Linked DNA regions of Arabidopsis thaliana. The protein of the gene in region 1 binds, or shares a complex with, the protein of each later gene. Each region holds a gene or a part of one and is shown in the gene's direction. Other genes may lie near its edges.

Evidence for each region.
Region 2: NRPB8B (region 1) and NRPB12 share a complex: the UniProt entries of both Arabidopsis thaliana proteins name them as parts of the RNA polymerase II.
Region 3: NRPB8B (region 1) and NRPB9B share a complex: the UniProt entries of both Arabidopsis thaliana proteins name them as parts of the RNA polymerase II.

The regions. Positions count from the first base shown.
Region 1 is NC_003074.8:22,014,829-22,018,980, forward strand, and holds NRPB8B (RNA polymerase Rpb8), read left to right. Parts: upstream 1-1,547; 5' UTR 1,548-1,687; intron 1,688-1,800; coding exon 1,801-1,879; intron 1,880-2,105; coding exon 2,106-2,263; intron 2,264-2,776; coding exon 2,777-2,868; intron 2,869-2,983; coding exon 2,984-3,095; 3' UTR 3,096-3,533; downstream 3,534-4,152. Other genes in the region: AT3G59590 (jacalin lectin family protein), read left to right, coding at 1-122, 202-567, 662-940. UniProt on the Arabidopsis thaliana protein: DNA-dependent RNA polymerase catalyzes the transcription of DNA into RNA using the four ribonucleoside triphosphates as substrates. Component of RNA polymerase II which synthesizes mRNA precursors and many functional non-coding RNAs.
Region 2 is NC_003076.8:16,422,308-16,425,959, forward strand, and holds NRPB12 (DNA directed RNA polymerase, 7 kDa subunit), read left to right. Parts: upstream 1-1,611; 5' UTR 1,612-1,742; coding exon 1,743-1,782; intron 1,783-1,938; exon of another isoform or gene 1,939-2,082; intron 2,083-2,165; coding exon 2,166-2,258; intron 2,259-2,591; coding exon 2,592-2,614; 3' UTR 2,615-3,017; downstream 3,018-3,652. Other genes in the region: YSL4 (YELLOW STRIPE like 4), read left to right, coding at 1-74, 187-319, 462-1,390; AT5G41020 (myb family transcription factor), read right to left, coding at 3,576-3,652. UniProt on the Arabidopsis thaliana protein: DNA-dependent RNA polymerase catalyzes the transcription of DNA into RNA using the four ribonucleoside triphosphates as substrates. Component of RNA polymerase II which synthesizes mRNA precursors and many functional non-coding RNAs.
Region 3 is NC_003075.7:9,201,710-9,205,705, reverse strand, and holds NRPB9B (RNA polymerases M/15 Kd subunit), read left to right. Parts: upstream 1-1,890; 5' UTR 1,891-1,944; coding exon 1,945-2,106; intron 2,107-2,759; coding exon 2,760-2,918; intron 2,919-3,096; coding exon 3,097-3,177; 3' UTR 3,178-3,354; downstream 3,355-3,996. Other genes in the region: AT4G16270 (peroxidase superfamily protein), read right to left, coding at 1-142, 342-626. UniProt on the Arabidopsis thaliana protein: DNA-dependent RNA polymerase catalyzes the transcription of DNA into RNA using the four ribonucleoside triphosphates as substrates. Component of RNA polymerase II which synthesizes mRNA precursors and many functional non-coding RNAs.

The DNA.
Region 1 (4,152 bases):
ACTATGAGACAAGGAATATAGAGATTTGGGTAACAAAAAAAGAGATTAAAATTGAGAATGGAAAGGCTGTGGAGTGGATGAACTTGATGAAAGTGTCAGTTCCTAAATGGTCGAGTTTAAGAGTAATAAGCTATGATCCGCCAAGTTACTTCATCGACGATAAAACCCTCAGTCTCGCATTTGTGTTGTTTGAACAAGAAGGAAAAGGCTTGCATTTATATTGCCAAGGGAGATAAGTTCCATGAAATTATAATAAACGATTTGGTTGAGTATCCTACTCGTCATCACCGTACCTATGTTCCTAGTTTGGTCCCAGTTCCAACGTTCACGATGAGCAATAGAAGTAAAACGCAGCAGGTTGAGTCCCGCTTCACACCCCCTAGAGGAATACAAGCGAGCGATGGAGGAAACGAGTGGGACGACGGCATCTTCCACAATGTGAAGAAAATAAATGTAGGAGTAAATGATTTTGACACGGTCTTTGTCAAGTTTCACTACTCCAAATATAACCGGATTGAAGCCGGAGCAGGTCATGGAAATGCGACAACACATAATCCAGACGACGAAGTACGTGACGTGATGAGATTTCTTACTTCTTAATTTATTAGTTTCTAACTTATATATAGTTTTATCATACATATCATATGGATTTCTTGCATAGATTATGATCGCTGGAGGCGACTACATTGAAGCCGTCGAGGGGACCTACACTGAAAGCCATATCACCTCCATTACATTTCGGATGCGCAAGGGAGACATGATGCCACAGTACGGACGCTTGAACGGGACGCCCTTCTCGCTTCGAGGAGAACGAGGCTCCAAGGCCATCGGGTTTTACGGAAGAAGCTCTGGTGTCCACCTCACTGCTCTCGGCGTCCACTTCTCTCCACCCCCTCTATATTATTCGTTTCCTAACCATTCACCAGTTTTTAATTATTAATAATCATGCCAATAAAAAGTAATAATTCTTTTTTGGATATGAATATGATCGTTTTTCTTGAACATGCACGATTGAGTAAAATGGGAATATTACTGGCCGTGTTTTTTATTGGGTTCGCAAAAGCCTAATAAAAAAAGTTGGACTTATGAGTAAAATGGGAAATAGGGTTTTCCAATCCTTCTTTCTGAAACCCTAAACCGACAAGGCAAGCAAACAACAACGCTGCTATACAAATCCATCTATAAACTCTTTTTTTTCTTTTCGACCGTGTCCATTAAAAATATATGATGCAACCAGAGAACCAGCCGTGGGAATTGGAGGAAGAGATACTTTCTCACCTTCCAACAATTTTTCTCGCTCGATTGAAATCAGTTTGCAAACCAACTAGTGTTTAACTATTGCTCATACTCAGCAAACCATGCACCTACTCCAATATTTCAAACTTCTGATCTCTCCTTTAATGCAACATATGTAATAAACAACAAAATATACATGGAATGTCTCGGAAAAACACAAATCTATAGGGTATTTTCTGTAATAAGTAAAAATATAAGGAAAATATGTAAATAAACCAAACTACAAGGAATATATGTAATAATATGAAAAAGTAAAAAACAAAAAATCCTTTCTCTCTCGCTTCTCTTCTTCTCTGCCCCTCCTTAACACTCTTCTCGCCGCCGTTCCTCTCTCTGCCTCTTGAGCCTCCGGAGCTGGTGAAAAAAATCGTCTTTTCTATCTCCTTTGAAGGTAATTCAGCTTTTCGATTTCTCCAGATGCTCATATAGTTGTTTTATGCCAGTCGAATCGGATTATTTTCATGAAATTAAGAGTGTTTAGGGTTTGAATCTCCGTGTTTGTAGATGGCGAGCAATATTATCATGTTCGAGGATATCTTCGTGGTCGATAAGCTAGACCCTGATGGCAAAAAGTTCGATAAAGGTATCTACTTTTTTTTTTAACCTCAGTCACGATTTGTAATGCTTGTCATGGCTTAAATCGAGTTTCTGATATGAATCCTAGTTTCTTGTGTTTGTTTTAAGTTTTAGATAAATTGGAATCCAAGTTAGTGTGAAAAAGATCTCAACTTTTAAAATTTTAAGCCTCCTAAAGTTTGTTTGTTCTGACTTCAAATTGATTGCGTCTCTGTGTGTTTGTGGTAACACAGTTACGCGTGTTGAAGCAAGGAGCCACAACTTGGAAATGTTTATGCATTTAGATGTTAACACTGAGGTTTATCCATTGGCTGTTGGTGATAAGTTCACGCTGGCTATGGCTCCCACGCTTAATCTCGATGGAACTCCTGATACCGGATACTTTACTCCGGTACTGCATGCTTTTTCTATGTTAGATTTTTGGTGTATATTGCATACTCTTTTTTACTTGCTTGGATAAATCTCATGAATGGTTACAGTAAGTTAGGCCAGTTAACTTTTCTTAAGGTTTTGGTTGGGGCATACCATTAAGTGCTAATTGCTCGATATGACTAATTCCACTGGCTTGATTCAGGAGATAGGAATAAGACTAATCATATGAAAACTTGAGCAATACTTAGTCTCTTGAATATTGAATTAAAACCTATCTTTGAAAACCAAGACTGTTTTCTTTGATAATTTGAACATTCATTTAGTTTCCATGTCGCTCTATTACAAGAACATGTATTAGGATTTGATCTAATTGCTTAATAGAACAATTGCTTTGGCTTGATTCAGGAAGCCTATCTAGGAATAAGAGTAAACATGTGGAATTTGAGCAAGACTTAGTGTCTTGACTCTTGAATCATGAAACCAAGATTGTTGTTAGCTAATCTAATCTAGTTTCCATCTCGCTTTGTTACAGGGAGCAAAGAAAACACTTGCAGATAAGTATGAATACATCATGCACGGGAAGCTTTACAAGATCTCTGAGCGTGACGGCAAAACTCCAAAAGCGTAAGAATCCCATATACCTAGACCAACAAAATCATTTTTTCCCAAAGAGATCCAATTTAACTTACAGATCTAACCATCATGCTTCGGTTTCTATCTTGCAATTATGTGTTTGCAGAGAGTTATATGTTTCGTTCGGGGGGCTCCTGATGTTGCTTCAGGGAGATCCAGCTCATATTTCTCACTTCGAACTTGACCAGAGGCTCTTTCTACTCATGAGGAAGCTTTGAGATGCCATTGTCTAATCACTTTCCGAGAATATTCGCATAAAAACCGAATTAACAGAGAGCTTTCTTATAAAAGCTTTATCTTATGTTAAACTTTGCTATTATAAATACTATTTTCATGAAGCAACTCTTGTACATCCAATATTTAACTGTCCAATTGAATTATGCTTGTAGCTCAGAGCTGTTGATGAATGATGATAACCACTTGAGGCCAATAAGTTATAAAACAAACAGAGACAAAAAAATTGTTTCTTTTCTAACAACACTCTCACATGTGTTTAGTAATATTCTCTCTTTGAACAATAACACTAAGCCAATAAAACAAAAAAGTCAGTTTCTGGCGTAGCAGGAATTTTTCTTTGTGATAGTGAAGTTTTTGGAGTTGTTGTTACTCATGCTTGTATCCAGACGCCTTCCCACTTCTCCCAACTGTATGAGGCTCATGCGTATTATCGCTGTTTACCTCCAAACCATGATAAGCATGGCTGAGGAAATACTCGGATCCTGATTTTGCAGCTGTTTGATTTAGTGAGTGAGTTATGATTATTGCCTCTCAACTGCAATGCTTTCTCTGCAGCTTATACTAATGCCATTGGCTCTCATGTGTCCGTCTTCTTCTCCATTCTTTGCTTGATCTGCATCAAGTAGATTGTCAAACTCATGGAATCAAAAATGGCTTTGGTTGACTTAACAATGTATCAAGCTTTCTATGATACCGTTTGTTTTGTGATCTTCTAGGTAACCACCCTGAAAGAAGAAGATCCGTGGCTCCTCTGATCCGCTATATATGTGCTTCTGAAAAGTGGTTAGCAATTTGTGAATTGTGATCACTTGCGGCATTTAGGTTCATATTGGGTGTACGATTTTGGATTATAAAGAAAATCATCAAAACGTTCGTAGAACACAATTCACAAATTTATTGATTTAAACTAGAACGATACACGTAACTGATTCTTCTTTTTGCATGTCCAAAATTATCATCAAGACCGGACTAATCATCATAGGATACATGTGAAAGTTGCAGCCTCTTACATTTTCTCCGTAACTATTTTGCTGTCCT
Region 2 (3,652 bases), on another chromosome or scaffold:
TATCACAGCATGCTGGGGACTGGTATCCAGCTGACCTTAAAGCCAACGATTTCAAAGGTCTCTATGGATATAAGGTACACAATAAACCGATTAAGTAGGAAGAATTTAATGTTAGTAGATGAATTTCATAGGTACTCTCATTGTGGTGGTTACTGATTCTCTTTCATATAATTACTGTACTTATAGGTATTTATCGCCATTTCTATCATCCTTGGTGACGGTCTCTACAACCTCATTAAGATCATTGTTGTCACTGTGAAGGAAATCTGCAACAAAAGCTCCAGACAACACAACCTACCTGTCTTTACCGACATTTTAGGTGCGAATATATATGATCCTGATTCACAATCGCGTTTGTTAGTAATAGTCATAGTTATTAATAAAGGTGTCTCTCATGACCATACTGACAACGTCTGTCTCAAATATTTTCTTAAGAGTTTCTTTCTCCATTCTTAATTCAGATAAAAGTAAGACCTCAGTATTAATGCGGGAGAAGAAGAAAAGAGATATCATATTTCTCAAGGACCGTATACCCCTCGAGTTTGCGGTTTCTGGTTATGTGGGTCTTGCAGCTATTTCAACCGCTATAATCCCGTTGATATTCCCACCATTGAAATGGTACTTTGTCCTCTGTTCATACTTAGTTGCCCCGGGTCTTGCTTTTTGCAATTCTTATGGAGCCGGGCTCACAGATATGAGCATGCCTTCAACCTACGGAAAGACTGGTCTTTTCATCGTTGCTTCAATTGTAGGAAATAATGGTGGAGTCATTGCCGGTTTAGCAGCATGTGGCATTATGATGTCAATCGTCTCAACTGCAGCGGATCTCATGCAGGATTTTAAAACAGGTTACCTCACACTATCATCTGCAAAATCCATGTTTGTAACTCAGCTTTTGGGTACAGCAATGGGTTGCATAATCGCTCCTCTCACGTTCTGGCTGTTTTGGACTGCTTTTGATATTGGAGATCCTGATGGTCTATACAAAGCACCTTACGCGGTCATCTACCGCGAAATGGCTATTCTCGGGGTCGAAGGCTTTGCCAAACTGCCCAAACACTGTTTGGCACTTTGTTGTGGATTCTTCATCGCTGCTCTGATTGTAAATCTAATTAGAGACATGACACCACCAAAGATCTCTAAGTTGATACCACTTCCAATGGCAATGGCTGGTCCATTCTACATAGGAGCTTACTTCGCCATCGACATGTTCGTAGGAACCGTGATAATGCTCGTATGGGAACGGATGAATAAGAAAGACGCAGATGATTACTCGGGTGCAGTAGCTTCAGGTCTGATCTGCGGAGATGGAATTTGGACCATCCCATCCGCAATTCTTTCTATATTAAGAATCAATCCACCCATTTGTATGTACTTTAGACCATCCTAGACATTGTTATCATGTTAAAAATTTGTTGCATTATGGCAGATAATAGAGTTTTTATATCTCACTCTAGAACACAAAGTGCCAATAGCAACAAGTATGTGGCATAAAGTCAAACAGACAAGGTTGACCAACGAAACTTTATTTGGGCTTATTCTGTAAGCCCATAGACTTTTGTTAAGAAGCCCATACGAATCTCTTTCCTCGTCTTTTCGACCGAAATTATTAAAACCTCTAATTCCTCCTCAAAAACCCTAAAATCCCAATTGAGAAAATTTAGACGCTCAAGGTTTTGTTTACATCTTGTCCGGTGGCTTGAAACAAATTCAACTTCTGCGTACTGTTTCTTTGTTGAATCATGGATCCAGCGCCCGAACCCGTTACTTACGTCTGCGGAGGTAAGCTCGACTTGAAAACTTCATCGAACATCTAATTTTGCTTTGAAATCAAAGTTTTGTTAGTATCTGTAAAAGATTGTAGCTTTGTGAAAGTAAATGCTAAAGTTGCCTCTTTTGAGTAGCCATATGAATCCTAATCTATTAGGAAATTTCATAATCTGGCTTAGTTAGGAGGCATAAATCAATCTTGATCATCAATACTTTACTGTATTGTATTGATCTATTTGACTTGAGGTCTTTTTGAGGAGGAGCTTTGCTTCTGCTAAGTATCAAGCTTCTCCCAAGCAGCCTCAGACATATACACTTTTAAACCAAAATTCATAAGTAAAAAGGTTGTCTTCGTTTTATGGGTTTGCTTAATTTCTTATTTTCTGTATCATCAGATTGTGGTCAAGAGAACACTTTGAAGTCTGGGGATGTGATCCAATGCAGAGAGTGTGGGTACCGTATTCTCTACAAGAAGCGTACCCGTAGAGGTGACTTATTCTTAATCCTCCTTTTGTTTTGTAATGTTTTTAGCTTTCTTTGATTCCTCTTTTTTTGGATCTTGTTCCTAGTTTATAAAAGTGATGGCACCATTTTGAATGCGTCTCAACATATACATGATATCGGGATCCTTTTTTAAGTCTTGATCATAGTTTATGATACTGATGGAACGATTTTCAGTGTGTCTTATATAACGCAAATGTTCTAAGGATCCGGTTTCCGAATTTATCTTGAGATTGTTAATCTGTTGGTTTTCTTGTACAAAATGTAGATGTTGTAAACTTGTTTCCGGCTAATTTATTTGATGGTTTATTCTCTTGCAGTTGTTCAATACGAAGCTCGCTGAGAACTACTACTCCTGAAGGTGGTTCATAGTCTGTTAAGATGGGTTGAGACTTTTTGGCACTGTTTGTGATATATATATCGACATGGTGATTGCTACATTGCCAGTTCGATTTGATTTGGTCACAGTGTGACTGTGTAATGACTTTACCGTTTTGATAGATGTAATTCTTGGAATAACTAAGTTCACATTGCTATAATCCTTGATTGGCTATAATCTCTCGTTGTTTTGCTACCTTTGTTCTTTAGTGTACTCTGCATTTAGTTGATCAGATTCTGGTGGTGGAAAAGGTAGTGACTACCATATATCAATCTTGTTTGCTACATATTAAGTGTTCGGAAGAAATCGAAGAGAGACATGAAGAGAACCCACCACAATGTTACTCTCAAAATACCTTTTTAGTACCAAGCAGATGGATAAATTAGTGTGTTAATATCTGTCTAACGAAACCTTTGGTAAGTCCTATAGGCTATGGCTACAAATAGAAGAGTCAACACAAGAGAATAATCGCGGCAAATATGCTCTCTATTAGCTTTCATCAAATACAAACTATGAGTTTTCAATCTCATGATACATTTATCTCGAATACCAAATGCTATGAAATAATCTATACGTTACTAAATACTAGTACTCTCTTCGGGTGGTTACTTCACTATTTCATATCATTCATTACCGAATTTACAAGCCTTAATTGCCATTGCTATCGTCCTTGGTGACTGTATCTAAAACCTGGCTAAACTCATTGTTGTCGCTGATAAACTCTTCCAACAAAAGCTCCAAACAAAACCAACTGTAGCATTTTTTTTTTTTTTTTGTCAAAACCAACTGTAGCATTTATATAATAGTCTGGGTTATCAAAATCAAATACATTCTCAGAGTTTCTATCTGCTGACATAAGAAAGTACCAACACATATTATCAAACAATAAAAAGTACCGAAAAACATGTAAGGTATGGTTCCAAACTTAATCTTCAGGATCATAGGGTCTGTTGTCAAAATCCTCTCTGTCCTCAGCTATGTCAGGGCAATACCTGTCAGACA
Region 3 (3,996 bases), on another chromosome or scaffold:
CGGTCTCTGGACATACAGATTCAATATCAGACTTTATCGAATCAATCACTTCGAACCCTCGTAGAGAATTTAGATTAGGAGGCGCCGTTTTTTCACCAACCAGTCCTTCTGTGTCATCTAACAACACCGAAGCATCACATCCCTGCAATGCATAATGCAAGTCAAAAACAAAAACACATTCTGGTTCGTAGTACTCATTCCCTACTTAACCGGTACAATTTAGATTTGTCACGGTTTAACTAACATAATATAATCCTTCCCGGTTCAATGGTATATAAAAGACGGGGATTAGATGATAGACCAAAACTATTAAAACAAACTTAAGATGAGATGTGACTTGCATTGACAAAACAGTCGTGGAAATGAAGACGGAGAAGAGAAGCAGCCATTCTTGGATCCTCTAACACCGTGGTTTCCACCCACGAGTAGACGATAGACTCTGCTTCGGGGCAGCTATTCCGGTATAAACCAAAATCAAGAACCAAATCGAACCCTATGCCAAAGCTTGAACCGGTTTCTCCACTCCCGTCTTCGCAACTCTCGCTGAAATTGGTTGGATTCTCGGAGAGTGAAAGAATTGGCATTGCAAAGAAAAACATAAGGAACAAGTTAAAGAGATTCTTCATTGTCGTTATATGATCACTCCACTTTCTTCTGAGTTTTAACATTCAATGGAGTTGGTACTATATTAGAAAGCTAGTGTATGTGTGTCCATATTTATAGAAACAATTCAACTATATACACATACATAACACGTATATATGTATGTGTGACTGCATGACTGCATGTGCACTTCAACAACCCAATTACATATTATGTACTCGTCAAATTAATCATACGTACGTCAATAAATGTATGTATATATAAAAGAAGTAGATTGGCAAATATTCAAGTAAAATTGCAATGTTAGTATACCAAATGATTAACAAATTCTCATAATACAATTTATGATCAGCATGTATAATTGTGTGTTTTTTGTTGTTTTTTATGCATGAATTATTATTTGAGCAAAACAAAACGTTTTGGACTAAACTATATACGTGATAAGGGATAAGATTGCATAAGGTGGCTGGCTAATGGCTATTATTAGTAAGTTGTAATAAAAAGGAACAAAAGAGTAGTAATGATATTGTAATGAATGAAGAGGAAACACACAAATAAACCATGTTGTTACTATTGCTAGTGCTAGTGCAAGTGCTAGAGAGATGTGTCGGTATACACTATAGAGTCAGGAGTAGTTAAAAGACAGACCAATTCAGCAGTTGGAATCTGACAGAAGTTAGTAGTATATAATGTGCTTAATTTCTTTCATATTTTTAATAGAACAGAACTTATATAATGAATATCGAATAATTTTCACAATGATATAAAGGTGCATGGGGATATGCATGTGGTTGTTAATGTAAGAAAAAGTACACTAGTCTTCAATGAAGAAAGGGTCAAATTTATTTCGTATTGTCCTCTTCGTATTTCTTTATTTGTATTTTTTTCTACCCCACAAGTTAAATTCTGATATGGGCCGGCCCATGGGCTTTACGCATTTATTGTCTAAATGCCCGAGAAAGTTCATGAAATTACATCCGATTGCCACTACGCAGTCTTTAGTCTTTACTAGAGCTTGACCTCTTCTCTCTCATGTCCGAGTGAACAAATCCCGCCAAAGATACGAAGAGACTGATTGTGAAATCAAAGAAGCATTCAAAAGCTCGTTATCTAAAGATTCTGCGAAGATGAGTACTATGAAATTTTGTCGCGAATGGTAAATACGAATCTCTTCGTTTTTTTTATTTTGGGGGTCAAAACGAATCTGTTCTCTGCTCTTTTATACTAGTCTTCTGAAATTGAAATTTGGGTTTTCATTTCTTAGCTCATATTGAATTATATATTGTACCCAGTTCTCTTAAGTCTCTAATTGTCGGAATTTTAGTTTTGGATGGTTTGCTTATGTTTTCTATTGGATTAAAGCTCCAACTTTTCTCCACTTTTGCAGCTTATGAACCTTTGATTTTGTTTTTTTTTGAAATGTTCAGTAATAACATTCTATATCCCAAGGAAGACAAGGAGCAATCAATCCTCCTCTATGCGTGCCGTAATTGTGATCACCAGGTAAACTTTGTTTACTATGCTTTCTTTTATAAAATTAGGTTTCCTTAGTGTTAATGGAACAATGTGGTGTTGAAACAAAGCTAGGGCTGAAACCAATAGACTTTAGTTGTTCACTTGTATATGATTTGTGTTGATATTTATTTAAGCTCTGATGTTTTACTCTTTGTAATCGCTTATACGGTTAAAGGTCGAATGTCTGAACTTGAAGTAAACCAAGGAATGATAATTTAATGAGTTTAGATCATTTTCCTTGTCTCTCATATCATGAATCTGATTGGTTAAGATAGTAGTGCTTATCAGTATAAAGAGTTCTTTGAGAACTTCTGAACAAACGCAAGACCTTTTAAAAACCGTTTAGAGGGTTTCTGCAACTTAACTTCTAAAACCATTTGAGTTTCAACAATATCCATTGGTGTTACCGAATCTGAGTTTTTTTTTGTTTCTACTGTTTGTGTTATGTTTTGTTATTACAAAGCATTATGCCTTTGTTAGCTACTGAAAACCATTCTAGATGAATCTCTGTATGGGATCTTTAGCTTAATGCCCGGACTTGCTAACCGAATTAGTTATAAACTTACTGAGTTACTGTTAGCTATTTATCGTCCTGTTGATAGAAGGTCTTGAAATTTATATTCTTTTATTTGGCTTTGCAGGAAGCAGCAGATAACAATTGTGTTTACAGAAACGAGGTTCATCACTCTGTAAGTGAACAAACTCAGATCCTATCTGACGTTGCTTCCGACCCAACTCTTCCACGTACCAAGGCTGTGCGATGCGCCAAGTGTCAACACGGTGAAGCTGTCTTCTTCCAGGTGAATCATTATCTTATATCTTAATCTTTAATTCGTCATCAATCAAGGAGTAAAGAAACATTCTTTCGTTTTTCTCTGATCTAACTTAAAGATCAAAAGAGATTTCTTTCTCTTGCTTTTTAATGTGCTTATGGCTATTTCGGTTTGATATAGCTCGTGTGTGTCATCGAATTTTCAGGCCACGGCTAGAGGCGAAGAAGGAATGACTCTGTTTTTCGTTTGCTGCAACCCGAACTGTAGTCACCGTTGGAGAGAATAGATTGATAGAAGACTACATTTTTCAAATGTAACGTGTATTTGTGTTCCGCTTTATGAGTTTTATACAATTCAATTTGGAGTTTTCTGTGTAAAAATATGAATACTATGAGACTGTTCTCGGGTTTCTTGAATTGTTTCAGGGTCTTTTATGATCATTTTGGTTTTTATGTGGGTCTAATTATAAATTTGTCGTTTTATGCGGGGCCGATCTGAAAATTCGTCCATAAACCATGATAGTGTTGAAAATTTGTATACGTGGAGTCTAGCCGCCGGCTGCTATAACTTTGCTATAACGTGTGATATTATAAAAAGTTGATAAATCTAATCTTCTAAACCAAATTGTTTTAATAATGCTGTGTTTACTTCGTCATCGTATCGAATTATACGGCTGCTCTTGTTAAGTGATGACAATATCTTCAAATAAAGTTTTTTCTTTTGTAAGCAAATATGATAAAACTACGTTAGCTAATAGCCAACTTGGTCCATCATAGTTCATAAAGTCAAAAAATCAGTAACCAATTCATGAGTGGAATTATACTTGATTCAATGACACTGTTTAGGAGCTTATCTAAATTGCACAAGTTTTGTTACACGTAAAACACAAATATGCCAAATTAGACATGTTTCTCGTCATTCTAAAACATTAACAAATATTTACATAGACGCAGTCAAATAAATCAAATTTCGTATGATAAAAAAAAAACAAAAAAAATAGCAAGGTTGATTTGTCAATGCTGGCAAAAATAAGCAATGTCCTAATTTCTCAAGTTGGAAAGTGACATTTCTCTACCCATTTTTTGAAAAGATATTCTCTTTTGCA